Linked DNA regions of Struthio camelus. The protein of the gene in region 2 interacts with the protein of the main gene of each other region in a pairwise test. Links are inferred from orthologs where the notes say so. Each region holds a gene or a part of one and is shown on either strand. Other genes may lie near its edges. The genes, in order: SP2, BANP and FHL2.

Region 1 (3,744 bases), on a different chromosome or scaffold from region 2:
GCAGTAAGAGCAGGAGAACTTAATTCTCTTAAATAAGGCAAACCTGGCTAGCAGTGCTGCCAAGGATGCACATGCACGCTGCAGGACCGGCTTCAAGGAGGAGGGAGCAGCTCCTAGCTCTGCATATACGAGAGAGAGAGAGATTTTAATGGCTTGAAAGCAAACGCATCACAGGGCACCCTTGAACAGCAGCTCCCCCAGAGCGATGAGAGAGGCCGTGTGGAAACTTCCAGCAGCATCAATCTCTCATTCCCTGAGCGGCCAAGATCCTGTTGCTTCTTACACCGTCCAGGGACCAAAGAAACCTTGGCCTGTTTCTCCCTGCTTACATGCCCAGGGCTGGGCCAGCACCCTCGGCACAGCTCGGCCCTGCAGCCCCCCTTGCTGCAAAGTGCCTACTTGGGGACAAGCCCGAGTCCCCTCTTCGTCCCAGGGCCCTTTACAGGGGCAAAACGGGCCCCACGGTCGCCCAGACCCTTCCCCACACAGCACCGGACCCCATCTCCCATGCGTCTCCAACACACGTCAGCACCCGACGTCCCCCACGTACTCCCAGCACCGCGCGCTGTACCGTGCCCACACCCCACACTCCTTCTATCGCTGGCACACTCCCCCGAGCCCCATGTGCCCCCCATATCCCCCTCCCCACAAACCCAGGATGCTTCCGACATGCACCCTTAGCCGCAGCCCCCCCATGTCTGCTCTGGGCTCCTCTGCATCCCATGCACATGCACAACCCCCCCCAGGCTCAGCACCCCTCTGCTGACACCTCTGTACCCCACCTCGCCCTGCTGGACACCCCCACTCCGGGCTCCGAGAGCCCCGGGTACCACTGGCACTCGACGCCAGCTGCCCCCAACACTGAGAACCCCTGGTACGAGGGTCTCCAACCTCAAGCACCCCCGGCACCTTCGGACGGGTGTCCCCAGCCCCGAGCACTCCCGGCACAGGTGTCTCCAGCCCCAAGCACCCTCGGCACCCCTGGCACAGGCGTCTCCAGCCCCGAGCACCCCCGGCACGGCTGTCCCCAACCCCGAGCATCCCCGGGGACCCCCACCACGGCTGTCCCCAGCCCCGAGCACCCCCGGCGACCCTCCACACTGCTGTCCCCAGCCCCGAGCACCCCCGGCACGGCTGTCTCCAGCCCCGAGCACCCCCGGGGACCCTCCACATGGCTGTCCCCAGCCCCGAGCACTCCTGGCACCCTCAGCACGGCTGTCCCCAGCCCCGAGCACCCCCGGGGACCCTCCACACGGCTGTCCCCAGCCCCGAGCACCCCCGGGGACCCTCCACATGGCTGTCCCCAGCCCCGAGCACTCCTGGCACCCTCGGCACGGCTGTCCCCAGCCCCGAGCACCCCCGGGGACCCTCCACACGGCTGCCCCCAGCCCCGAGCACCCCCGGCACGGCTGTCCCCAACCCCGAGCACCCCCGGCACCCTCCACATGGCTGTCCCCAACCCCGAGCATCCCCGGGGACCCCCACCACGGCTGTTCCCAGCCCCACGCATCCCCGGGGACCCTCCACACAGCTGTCCCCAGCCCCGAGCACCCCCAGCGACCCTCCACACGGCTGTCCCCAGCCCCGAGCACCCCCGGCGACCCCCACCACGGCTGTCCCCAGCCCCGAGCACCCCCGGCACGGCTGTCCCCAACCCCGAGCACCCCCGGCACCCTCCACATGGCTGTCCCCAGCCCCGAGCATCCCCGGGGACCCCCACCACGGCTGTCCCCAGCCCCACGCATCCCCGGGGACCCTCCACACGGCTGTCCCCAGCACCGAGCACCCCCAGCACCCTAAGCACAGCTGTCCCCAGCCCCGAGCACCCTCAGCACGGGTGTCCCCAGCCCCAAGCACTCCCCGGGGAGCCGGGGACGAGTCTCCCCAGCAGCCCGGGCACCGCCTGCACGGGTCCCCCCCAGCACCGGGGCCGAAAGCCGCCCCGGAGACCCCCCAGCCGGGACAGCCCCTGCCCCAGCACCACCACCCCCCCCCCCAAAGACCGGGCACCTCCGGGCGCCCTCGCAGCCCCCTCCCCGCCGCCACGTACCGGGACACCCCCCCCCCGGCCCGGGCCCCCCGCCTGGCCCCGGGGCCGCCCCGCCCCTGGCGGCGGCGGCGGGTCCCCGGGGAGGCGGGCCGAGGCGGCGGGCCCGCCCCCTCCCGGGCCCCGGAAGCGCCGCCCGCCCGGCGCACGGGAAGGGCGGGCCGGGGCGGGCCGCGGAGGCCGCACGCCCCTTCCGGGCTTCGGTTCCGCCGGCCCCGCCGCCGCCTCGTCTCCTCTTCCCCCCCCCCCCGCCCCAACCCGGCCCGGCCCGACCCTGCCGCCTCCTCCCCGCCGGCCCCGCCGTCCGCCGCCGCGGCCCCGCCCCGCCCCGCGGAGCGCCCGCACAGACCGGCCGGAGCGGCGGCGGCTCCGACCCCCCTCACGGCGCCATCTTCCTCCTCCTAGGCCGCTCGGGCACCGCCCTGAATGGCCCGCCCCCTCCGCAGCCTGGCCGCCAATCCCCACCCGGCTTGCCGGCGCTCCGGCCAACTGGCGGGGGGATGCTTTATCGCCGACCAATCCGCCCTGGATGGCTTCTTGATGGACAGCGCCGCTGAGCAATGGGGCCCGGTGATGGAGTGACAGCTCCGCCAATGGACGCGGGCCTCAGGGATGACGGACGGAAACCGGATACCCAATGGGAGGACAAAATTCTGATTGACAGCTCTCTTGGCTAATGAGAGCAAAACCAGCCTGTCGCCCCCCTGCTGATTGATTGACAGCGTTCCGGAAGGGAGAAGGAGGTGGGGACTTCCTCGTGGGCGGGCGTCATCCAGGGGGAGATTCGCGGTTGGCCGAGGCGAGGCCCGATTGACAGGCAAATTCACCAAGGGGAACAGCGAGGCGGCCCCGCTCCAGTTGTGATTGGCGGAGGGGCGGAGCGGGGGGGGATTCTGGAACGTTGGGAGGCTGATGACGCCAGCGGGGTCCCCGCGCGGGAAGTCCCGGGGATCCCCCCCGCGGCCGGGGCTCGGCGCGCCCCGCGTGGGCGCTCCCGGCCCGGGGGGTGGAAACGCTGCCCGCGGCGCGGCGCCGCCCCCGGCCCGCTGCCTCCGGGCGCTCGGCAGACTCGGCTCCCGCGGGGCCCGTCGCGCTGCAGCCCCCCGCGTGGGTCGTGTCCCTGATGCCGCGCGTGGGGCGTCTCCCGCCTCGAGGGGGGGATCCGAGTCCGAAGCGATGGGGCCGGGGGCCGCCGCGGGGGCCACCGCCCTTGGTCCCCACCCAGTCCAGAGAGGCTCTGGGCAGGCGAAAGCAGCGTTTCTCGAGGCACGGCCACACCTGGCACCCACCCGTGGGTATCCCGTCCCTCTTCAAGCTCCAGGCGGCTGCCGGGGTGGGAGCACCTGGGCCCCCAGCCCGTGGAGGGGACAGCATTGCTGCCCCCAGTCCTCCACTCCTCCTGGCACGGCCCCGCGTCCCGCCGCGCGTCCCCGGCGTCTCTCATTACCGGATCACACCACGCCGGGCGACGTGGCATTCCTCGCGCCGCGCTGGGGATTTCGGTGCCTAATTGCAGTGCGTTATCCTATTATGGAGGTGAATCGCCCCATGGATGCAGCCGGCCGAGCTGCAGGGTCGCTGCGGGGACTGCGGGCCGGCATGGGATGGGGCCCAGAGCCCAGCAGGCCCCCTTTATGCACGCGGCCTGGGGGCGAGCACGCAGCCCGGGCAGCGTACTCACCTTCTACGCATTCTAC
Region 2 (3,744 bases):
TTCTCTCAGAACTACCTTCAATCTTCCTCCATGCTCTCTTTTCATGCTTTTGCATATTTTTGTCGTTCCCAGAAGGTTTCCAGAAGGTTTTCCACCTTCTCCCAGTCATTCTGTTCTCATACCAAATGCAGGAATGAAAAGCAACAGAAAAAGCAGTCTGGTAAGCTAATTTAGCCAATTCCCCCCCCCCCCCCCTTGCTGCCTGTTCTTCAGCTGTGTACTGAGCGTGGTGACATCTCTCTTCTTAATATGACAGCTCCCATTCAGATCATCTCATTTCAGGGATGCAAGCGCTCAAGGTCCCTTAGCGGAGGGAGAAATTTAATAAAAGGACTTGAGAAAGGAGTAGGAAAAAGCAACGCGCCAGCCAGAGCAAGGAGTTGTTGAGTCTGCCCTCAGGCTTGCCTCCCACAGTTGTGTCAGGGCCGGGTTGGCGCCTCAGGAGGGTGAAACAGGGCGAATGAGGGAGAAAGAGGGAGGTAGGTGTTGAGGGGTTTGGGGGCATTGAGTGTGTGCGTGTGTGGGGGGGAGTTTGTATGTGGCGCATCCGTGTGGTGCGGACTACAACTCCCAGCGTGCACAGCCTCCGGCGCGTGTACTACAGGTCCCGGCCTGCTCGGCGGGGGCGGGGGCGAAGGGCCGGCGCGCTGCCCTCCGGGAGTTGTAGTCTGGGCCGGCAGCGCGGCGGTGAAGGGCGGCTGCCCGGCCGCTTCTCCCTTGCGCGTGCGCGGGCGCTCGGGGCGGGCGGGGGCCGAGCGGGAGCAGCGCGGCGGCGCCTGCGCGCTGCGGAGAGGGAGATCTCTCGCGAGGAAGGACGCCATTATCGCAGCCGCTCGACAAACACCACGAGAATTCGGCACCGCACACGGTAACCGCGGCGCCCCGCCGCCGGACGGCTGGGGCTGAGCTCCCGGGGGGCCTCACGCCGGGCTTACGGCGCCGGCCCTCGCAGCCTCCCCTCTCCTCACAGCGCCGGCCGAGCTCCCGCCGCCGTAAGGCGGCGGCTGCGGGGAGGGGCCGAGGCGGCGGCGGGGGAGGGGGGGGGCCGCGGGCCTCCGCCCCCCCCCTCCGCCGGGCGGGGCGCGGGGTGGGGGGGGGCGGCCGGGCTCTCGCCTCCTCCCGCCGCGGGACGCCGCCGCCGCCCGGCCCTCCTCGGGGGCTGCTCCTCGTCGCCTCGCCCCCCCGCCCGCCTTCTCGGGCCTGGGGAGAGAAGGGGAGCCCCCCCCCCCCCCCGCCAGGCTGGGGCGCCTCAGTCCTGGCGCCCCTCGCTGCCCAGCGCCGCGAGTGGGGGGGGGGGGAGGGGGGCTCGGCTGCTCCCCGGCAGCGCCGCCGGGCACCGTGCCCTCTCCCCCCGTCTGCCCGAGGCTTGTGTTTCCTCCTTTCTGAAGGACGGGGCAGGTCTGAGCCGCTTTCCCTCTCTGGGGGTGGCGCACACGCGGCGCTGCGGACAGGGGTTTTTGGGTGTCGCCGCGCGCCCTCCTCCCCCCGTCGTGATAGACGGTGAATAAGCGGTGACAGCGGCGCTGCCTCTGCCCCTTCGTCGTGCCGAGGGGTCTGCGGCTGTGCTCGCGCCTGCTGGGGGGGGAGAGGCGCAGTTCTCTCTGCGTGGTCATCGGGTCATAGCAGGGGCTTTTCACATCCGTATCTGGGGTGATGTTTTCCAGTGTTCTCACGGTAGCGACCTGTCTGACAACGCACTCCCAGTTATCTCTCTCTCTCTCTCTTCCCTTTTGTTCTTATTTCTAATTCGAATAGTGCATTTTTTAATTTTTCTTTTTTTTTTTCCTTTTTTTTAAAATCCTAGTTGAGTGGGAAGTTGTGCACTTAACCAAATATAGTAGCTTTATTCTGCTGTGGGTCATGCAGTTTATGTACCAATTTATTTTTAGTGCTCTCAAGGGAAGAATTTTTTTTTTTTTTAAGGAAACAAGCTTGGAGGGATATTATCAACCAAGTGATGATGCCAGTTGAAGTAACTTTCAGATTGTTGTAAAATGATAGTTTGGAGGGATTTTTGCTACTTTTTTGTTTTTTAATTCACTTATATGTGAGTTTACCTTAAATGTAGTACCCTATTGGTGTCAGTCTTTCAAGCAGCAAACATAAAACTTGTCTGTAGAATCTCAAATACTCAGGCAAGATCTGAAAAAAAACCCTTATCTTAAGCGTTAGTTCATTAGTAGTGTCTCTTGAAACAATGGATTTATTCTGTTAGAAGGTATTTATATATGCCAAATGAATATCCCAAGAAATCTTAACAGAATAACAAATTGATTTGGAAACTGTATGAGCCCTACTGTGTACACTAAATGATATCTTGGCTTTAGTTCACTTTTCAATAAGACATGAAAAGATGGTAAGAAGAAAGACTAATTTATTAAGAAGGGTAAAAGATTGAATTTGGACTTTAGAAGCATTAACATTCTCTCTGATTCAGAGGATGAGAATATTTTGTAACTTTTCTTTGTTTTGTAATTCATCATCTGACTTATTAGAACTGTAACTCGCTTTAATGTCTTAATTATCTAGCTGTGTTAAAGTTGTGTGGTTACAGGGCAGATCTTAAAATTTAAGACTTTTAAAGGAGTAATTGAGTAACAATGTCAGAAGTGCAGCAGTAGTACAGCGAGCAGTAACAGTATACAATTCTCAACAGTCAGGATTCCACCAGCACGTGTTTTGCTAAAGAAGTTTTACAAAGGTTTGTTTCTTGCATGTGGCGCTGTTCTTGGCGCAACGCAAGGTATATGTTTTATACTGTCAGGTGAAGAAAGCTGAGCTACGCCTAGCTCCTTGTAACCAGAAGTGATACTTAGAGGTTTACCTTGATTCTGCAAAGAGCAGTGCTCTGGCGTGGGGCTCAGACCCACATGAATTACATTAATATACTCACGTTTGCAAGGATTTTAGATTGTCTCTGCTCTTCGTCTTGAACTTTTTCCTGAACTTCTTAAGTTGATTCGCAGCTTATGCAGGAAGAATACACATCTCTGTTTTTTCACAATTTGCATGTCTGCATATCTTTCACTGAAGAATGACTTGAATTGAAATTCCTGTGATGCTCTTTCTAAAGTAATTGAAGGCTCATTCGTTTTAAGAGGAAGATGGGCATTTGTCTTTGTGTACAGAAGCTCTGGTCCCAGAGATCTACAGAATTTGTTTATGTGAATTGAACAGAACAGCAAAAGAGCTACTTGTAGTAGGAGACGATGCAAATCGAATGATTAGAATTAGAAGAACAAAATGTCTATGTATACTGAACTTCTCCAATAAAATTCTTTTCATGGATTTGATTTCCTTTAGTTTGGAACATGGTATTTAGCTGTTAACTATTGAAGTAATTTAATTTGTTTTCTGTTTTTTTTTTTTCTTTTTACGTTTTCATTGAAAAGCTAAACGTATTCTTTTTTTTAAGTAAAAATAAAAGAATAAAATGTCTTTCGAAGTCATGTCAAATATTTGTTTCATTGCAGTTTTAGGATTTTAAAGCTCCTATATGGTAGGCTTAACTGAGCACTTAATATTAGACTGCATGTTAAGGCATTAAGCGAAAGTGCACAAAAAAGGTTAACTTCTTAAAATCCTTTGCATATAGAAACTTTAAATAAAGTAATTTTCAGAGATGTCACCTGTTGGGCAAAATTCTTTTATCTTGGTTCATATTTCTAAAACCCTAACTTAGACCACTTAAGGGAAAAATACAGTAAGTTCAGTTTTTCCTCTGGAAATTGGAGCATCGTTATC
Region 3 (3,744 bases), on a different chromosome or scaffold from region 2:
ATTTGAGGACATGAGTAAATTTCTGGCACTGCAGAAACGAGGCTACTCTATTAAAAATATTAGTTTTGTATGTAACTTCTTTATTATGCAATTTACTGTGGTGGCGTCAGTTTAGCTTAATGGCAGGGTCCTGGATAAACAAGACAACATGGGTCAATGGGCTTGGGCAAGGCGTCTCCCAGTCCACACTGGAGGACTGCTTAGAGGCAACACTGCGCTCTTCAGTGGGAAGCACCTACGTTTGAACGCCAGGCAACTTACAAAACCCATTTTATCAGTTCTGGGGACCAGAAGGTTGGAGCTCTGAAAGGATCTGAAAAGAACAGATCCTGGGCCAGCGGTGGGACAGTAACTGCTGGAGAACAGATGGATGTGCAGAGGCTCTGACTGTGATATCTGAAGAAGTTAAGCCTCCCCAGGCATCAGTGAGGGGATAGTAAGCCTTTAGATAAGATAGATGTGTGCAGCCAGTTTGGTACTCTGCATTCCTTTTTTCTTCTACTTACGTTATATGCTGTTCTTCACACAAAATATGGAACAAACTAGTTTCTAAGCTTGCTCTTTTGATATTGTCTGCACTGACGGTCACAGGCCCCCACCAGAGAAAGCCAGGATAGCTCAGCTGGATGAGACACATTAATTGAGGCCGTGTAAAAGAACAAGTTCAGATGCAGGTAGGGGTGCACTAGGGGCTACATCAATACTCATAAATCAGACAGGACCACAGGATGCTCCAGGCTCCGCAACTCATTTGGCCACGCTGGTCAGTTGTCCCTGGCGCAGTTTTGGCGTGCGCCAGCTAGCCCTCTCCCAGCCAGATCCTCGGCATGGTTTGGGAGGTGGGTAGCCCAACCCCAGGATACCTTTCAGATGTGGCCACTTTGTTCAGACACCAGGAGTGCATAATGGCATGGACACAGACTGCTCAGACCAGGTGACCCCAGGACCACTTTTCCCAGCAGAAGTATTTCTGGGCATATTTCATTCACTATTACAACCGCCTTTGGGTTGGATCCAACATTTCCACATGTACAGGCCAATCAACAGTAGATGGAAACATCCATATTTCAGCAATGTCCATAGATGTCTGACAGTTTGTATCAAGTAAGGATCTTTCCTTTTGCCTCTGAAATCCGCACGTAGGCATTAGGCCCAGTCTCAAATGCTTTGAAGTGAGATGAGCCATTTGTACAGGCCTTGGATGTGGATCAGGCCTGAGGAGTCCTGCTCTCCAGAGAGCCAACATCCCTATCAGAGTCTGTGAAGCACTGGTTGCTCAGCAATTTGGAAATAAGCCTTCTTTTATTTCTTTACTTAAATAAGGGAATAGTAAATAAAACTCTGTGCAAAGTATGATACCTTCTGATCTCTGGCTAAAAATAAATTAATATTTCTTACCTTTCATACTTTGTGATCCTTGCTTGAAAAAGTCTCTTGTTACAAGAATGTTTATAATAAAAACGCATGTATAAATGCATCTAAATGCACATACACACATGCACAAACAATCTTATTTTTCCAAAGAGGTCTTCTTTTATTCGCTTCATTTGAAAATTAATACTCTCATGAGATGAGGTTAAAAGTAAATTAGTGTAACAACGGTCTGATAATTGGCATTTGGCAGTTGTTGCTAATGCTGTTTTCCAGACAAGTTCTGAAGAATTCCTGCTTTGACACCCAGTTACGTTTCAATGCTTTTCTTTCTTTTTCCCTTTCACACAGCTGCTGTAATCCATAACAAATAATTGTTTAAACACAAAATCAGCAAGCATCGTGTGTAATTTGCCTTTCTCTCTTTCAAGACCATTACGAAACGGTGTCAAAGACAGAAAAAAAAAAGTATAAATGTTCCTTCTGTCCCCCTTTTTTTCACTGTCTGTTCAATTTCCAAATATTCATCCTAAAGAAGAAAATGCTGATAGAGAAAAAAAAACTAATCAAAAGCTTTCTGCCTGAAGTCATTCAGTTTCCTATTCAAACCAGGAAAGTGTCTCTAGTTAGACATGGTTGTATTCCCTGAGAACATGAAAACATGACAGCATATTATTAGCGCAGAAACTAAAGAGCAGCTGTTATTTAGCACCTGGTTCCCAACAGCAGACTAGAAATGCAAAGTGAGACACTATGTATGTGCCCTGACAGACAGCGAAAAATGAACAAACAACCGAAAAGCCACTCTTCCTGCAAGAAAGAAGCACTCCGTTCATGATCTCTACATAGAAAGTGTTGACAAATTTCCAGCCCTCCTCCTGAAAGGGAGGATGAAAAGGAGTAAAGGGGCCAAAAGACAGCTAAAATCGAAAGAAGTTGTTTTCTTACCTTGCTGCAACTTGGTGGTGCCTCTGCTTGCTAGTGTGAGAATGAGAGAAGGCAGAGACAAATGCAGCGACTTACTGCTTTATTGGATTACCCAAACTATGCATTTAGTAATTACACAGTCAGGCATTCGTTCTTTAGACAAGCTATAAATATAATATCTCCAAAGTACCAGCCATCCACAGGAGATAAGAACAGCATCACCTCTGTGCTCCTGGCCTTTTAAGGCATCATAGTTAACGGTAGCACAAGACCTGTAATGGAAAGGGCTGCCACTCTCCTGAGCAACCCTGGCCCTTTACTCTGCTTGATTCGGGAATGTCTGACCTTAAAATACGCTCACCTAAGCGTAGCGAGGTTCTAGGAGGGACTGTCAAAGAACGAGAGTAATTTAATGGCCTGATATTTTAGCTGGGCTGTAAGAGTCTAGCTTCTAAATCAGACGATTTGTCAAAGCTTTGGGATTAACAAAAACACTCTAGGAAATGCTAACCGCTCTGAAGATGTAACAAACTTTAACTTGCCCTTCATTCATCAATCTCAGGTATGCATCTTGTTGAAAGGGAGTCTGAGTCCCTCATATTCTGCCACGTTTTACCCTTGCAACCCCTTGTATGGGGGAAGGCATTGCTAGTTCTACCATTTTACAGCACAAAGAAGCTCTAGCAACTAGCCTGAGGTGAAGAAATAAATATGTGCCAGGCTGGCAGTGGGCACTCATAACTCAGGAGACTGCTTTCCTCTCTGGGCTTCCTTCCTGCTGTAATGGAGTTGTTACGTTAGGTTAAGGGGACATTCGCACATTTAAGGAATGAGAGATTAGAGGTGAAAAAAGTTCAGCAACTCACATTGGCAAAGCCCCTCTGGCCTCAGAAGAAAACCTGCCCAAGCAAGGCTCCATGCAGAATTAGGGTTACAGCCTATCTCCTTGCTAGGTCCATCTCTCACTTTATTGCACTACTCTGGAGTATGTTGCAGCAGAGACATGATCCTTGGCCCGAAGTTGAACTATTTTAACCTTTTTTTTCACCCAGAATGAAACACAATTGCCTCACTGCATGCCACTTCTCCTGTCAGGACGGCCTTGTGGGTCCTTTTGGTTCCTCCCTGCAATTTGACCTGGGACTTCTACGCTTTTGTTGTGGCCACCTGACTGAGAATTGCCCTTTAGGGGTTTTGCTCTGTCTGGGGAGCAGGGAGAGCAGGACATGAGATAAAGAGTTTGACCTGATAAGTAGAGAGTCTACACTTGTGAAGGTAGGCAGTGAGATGTCAAGAGGAGGAAAAGAAAAGCCTCTCTTTTACAGAGGCAGGTAAAGAAACAAGATCAGGCAGCCTGCACAAATAGGCAAACGACCCTCTCCTTAACGCAGCAACATACTTCTCAGATGAGGCACTATTCTGTTAAGCTGAGATTATCTGTCCTTC

Evidence for each region.
Region 1: the proteins of BANP (region 2) and SP2 interact in binary tests that used the Homo sapiens proteins (3 or more experiments, as listed by UniProt). The two-hybrid records come from large-scale screens. The link is inferred for Struthio camelus from reciprocal best matches to the Homo sapiens genes BANP and SP2.
Region 3: the proteins of BANP (region 2) and FHL2 interact in binary tests that used the Homo sapiens proteins (3 or more experiments, as listed by UniProt). The two-hybrid records come from large-scale screens. The link is inferred for Struthio camelus from reciprocal best matches to the Homo sapiens genes BANP and FHL2.

Annotation. Positions count from the first base shown.
Region 1 is NC_090966.1:5,808,658-5,812,401, forward strand, and holds the start of SP2 (transcription factor Sp2), read right to left. Parts: upstream 2,594-3,744; 5' UTR 2,397-2,593; intron 120-2,396; exon of another isoform or gene 44-119; intron 1-43. UniProt on the Homo sapiens protein: Binds to GC box promoters elements and selectively activates mRNA synthesis from genes that contain functional recognition sites.
Region 2 is NC_090951.1:3,025,172-3,028,915, reverse strand, and holds the start of BANP (protein BANP), read left to right. Parts: upstream 1-745; 5' UTR 746-868; intron 869-3,744. UniProt on the Homo sapiens protein: Controls V(D)J recombination during T-cell development by repressing T-cell receptor (TCR) beta enhancer function. Binds to scaffold/matrix attachment region beta (S/MARbeta), an ATC-rich DNA sequence located upstream of the TCR beta enhancer.
Region 3 is NC_090942.1:154,186,559-154,190,302, forward strand, and holds the start of FHL2 (four and a half LIM domains protein 2), read right to left. Parts: upstream 2,362-3,744; 5' UTR 2,320-2,361; intron 1-2,319. UniProt on the Homo sapiens protein: May function as a molecular transmitter linking various signaling pathways to transcriptional regulation. Negatively regulates the transcriptional repressor E4F1 and may function in cell growth.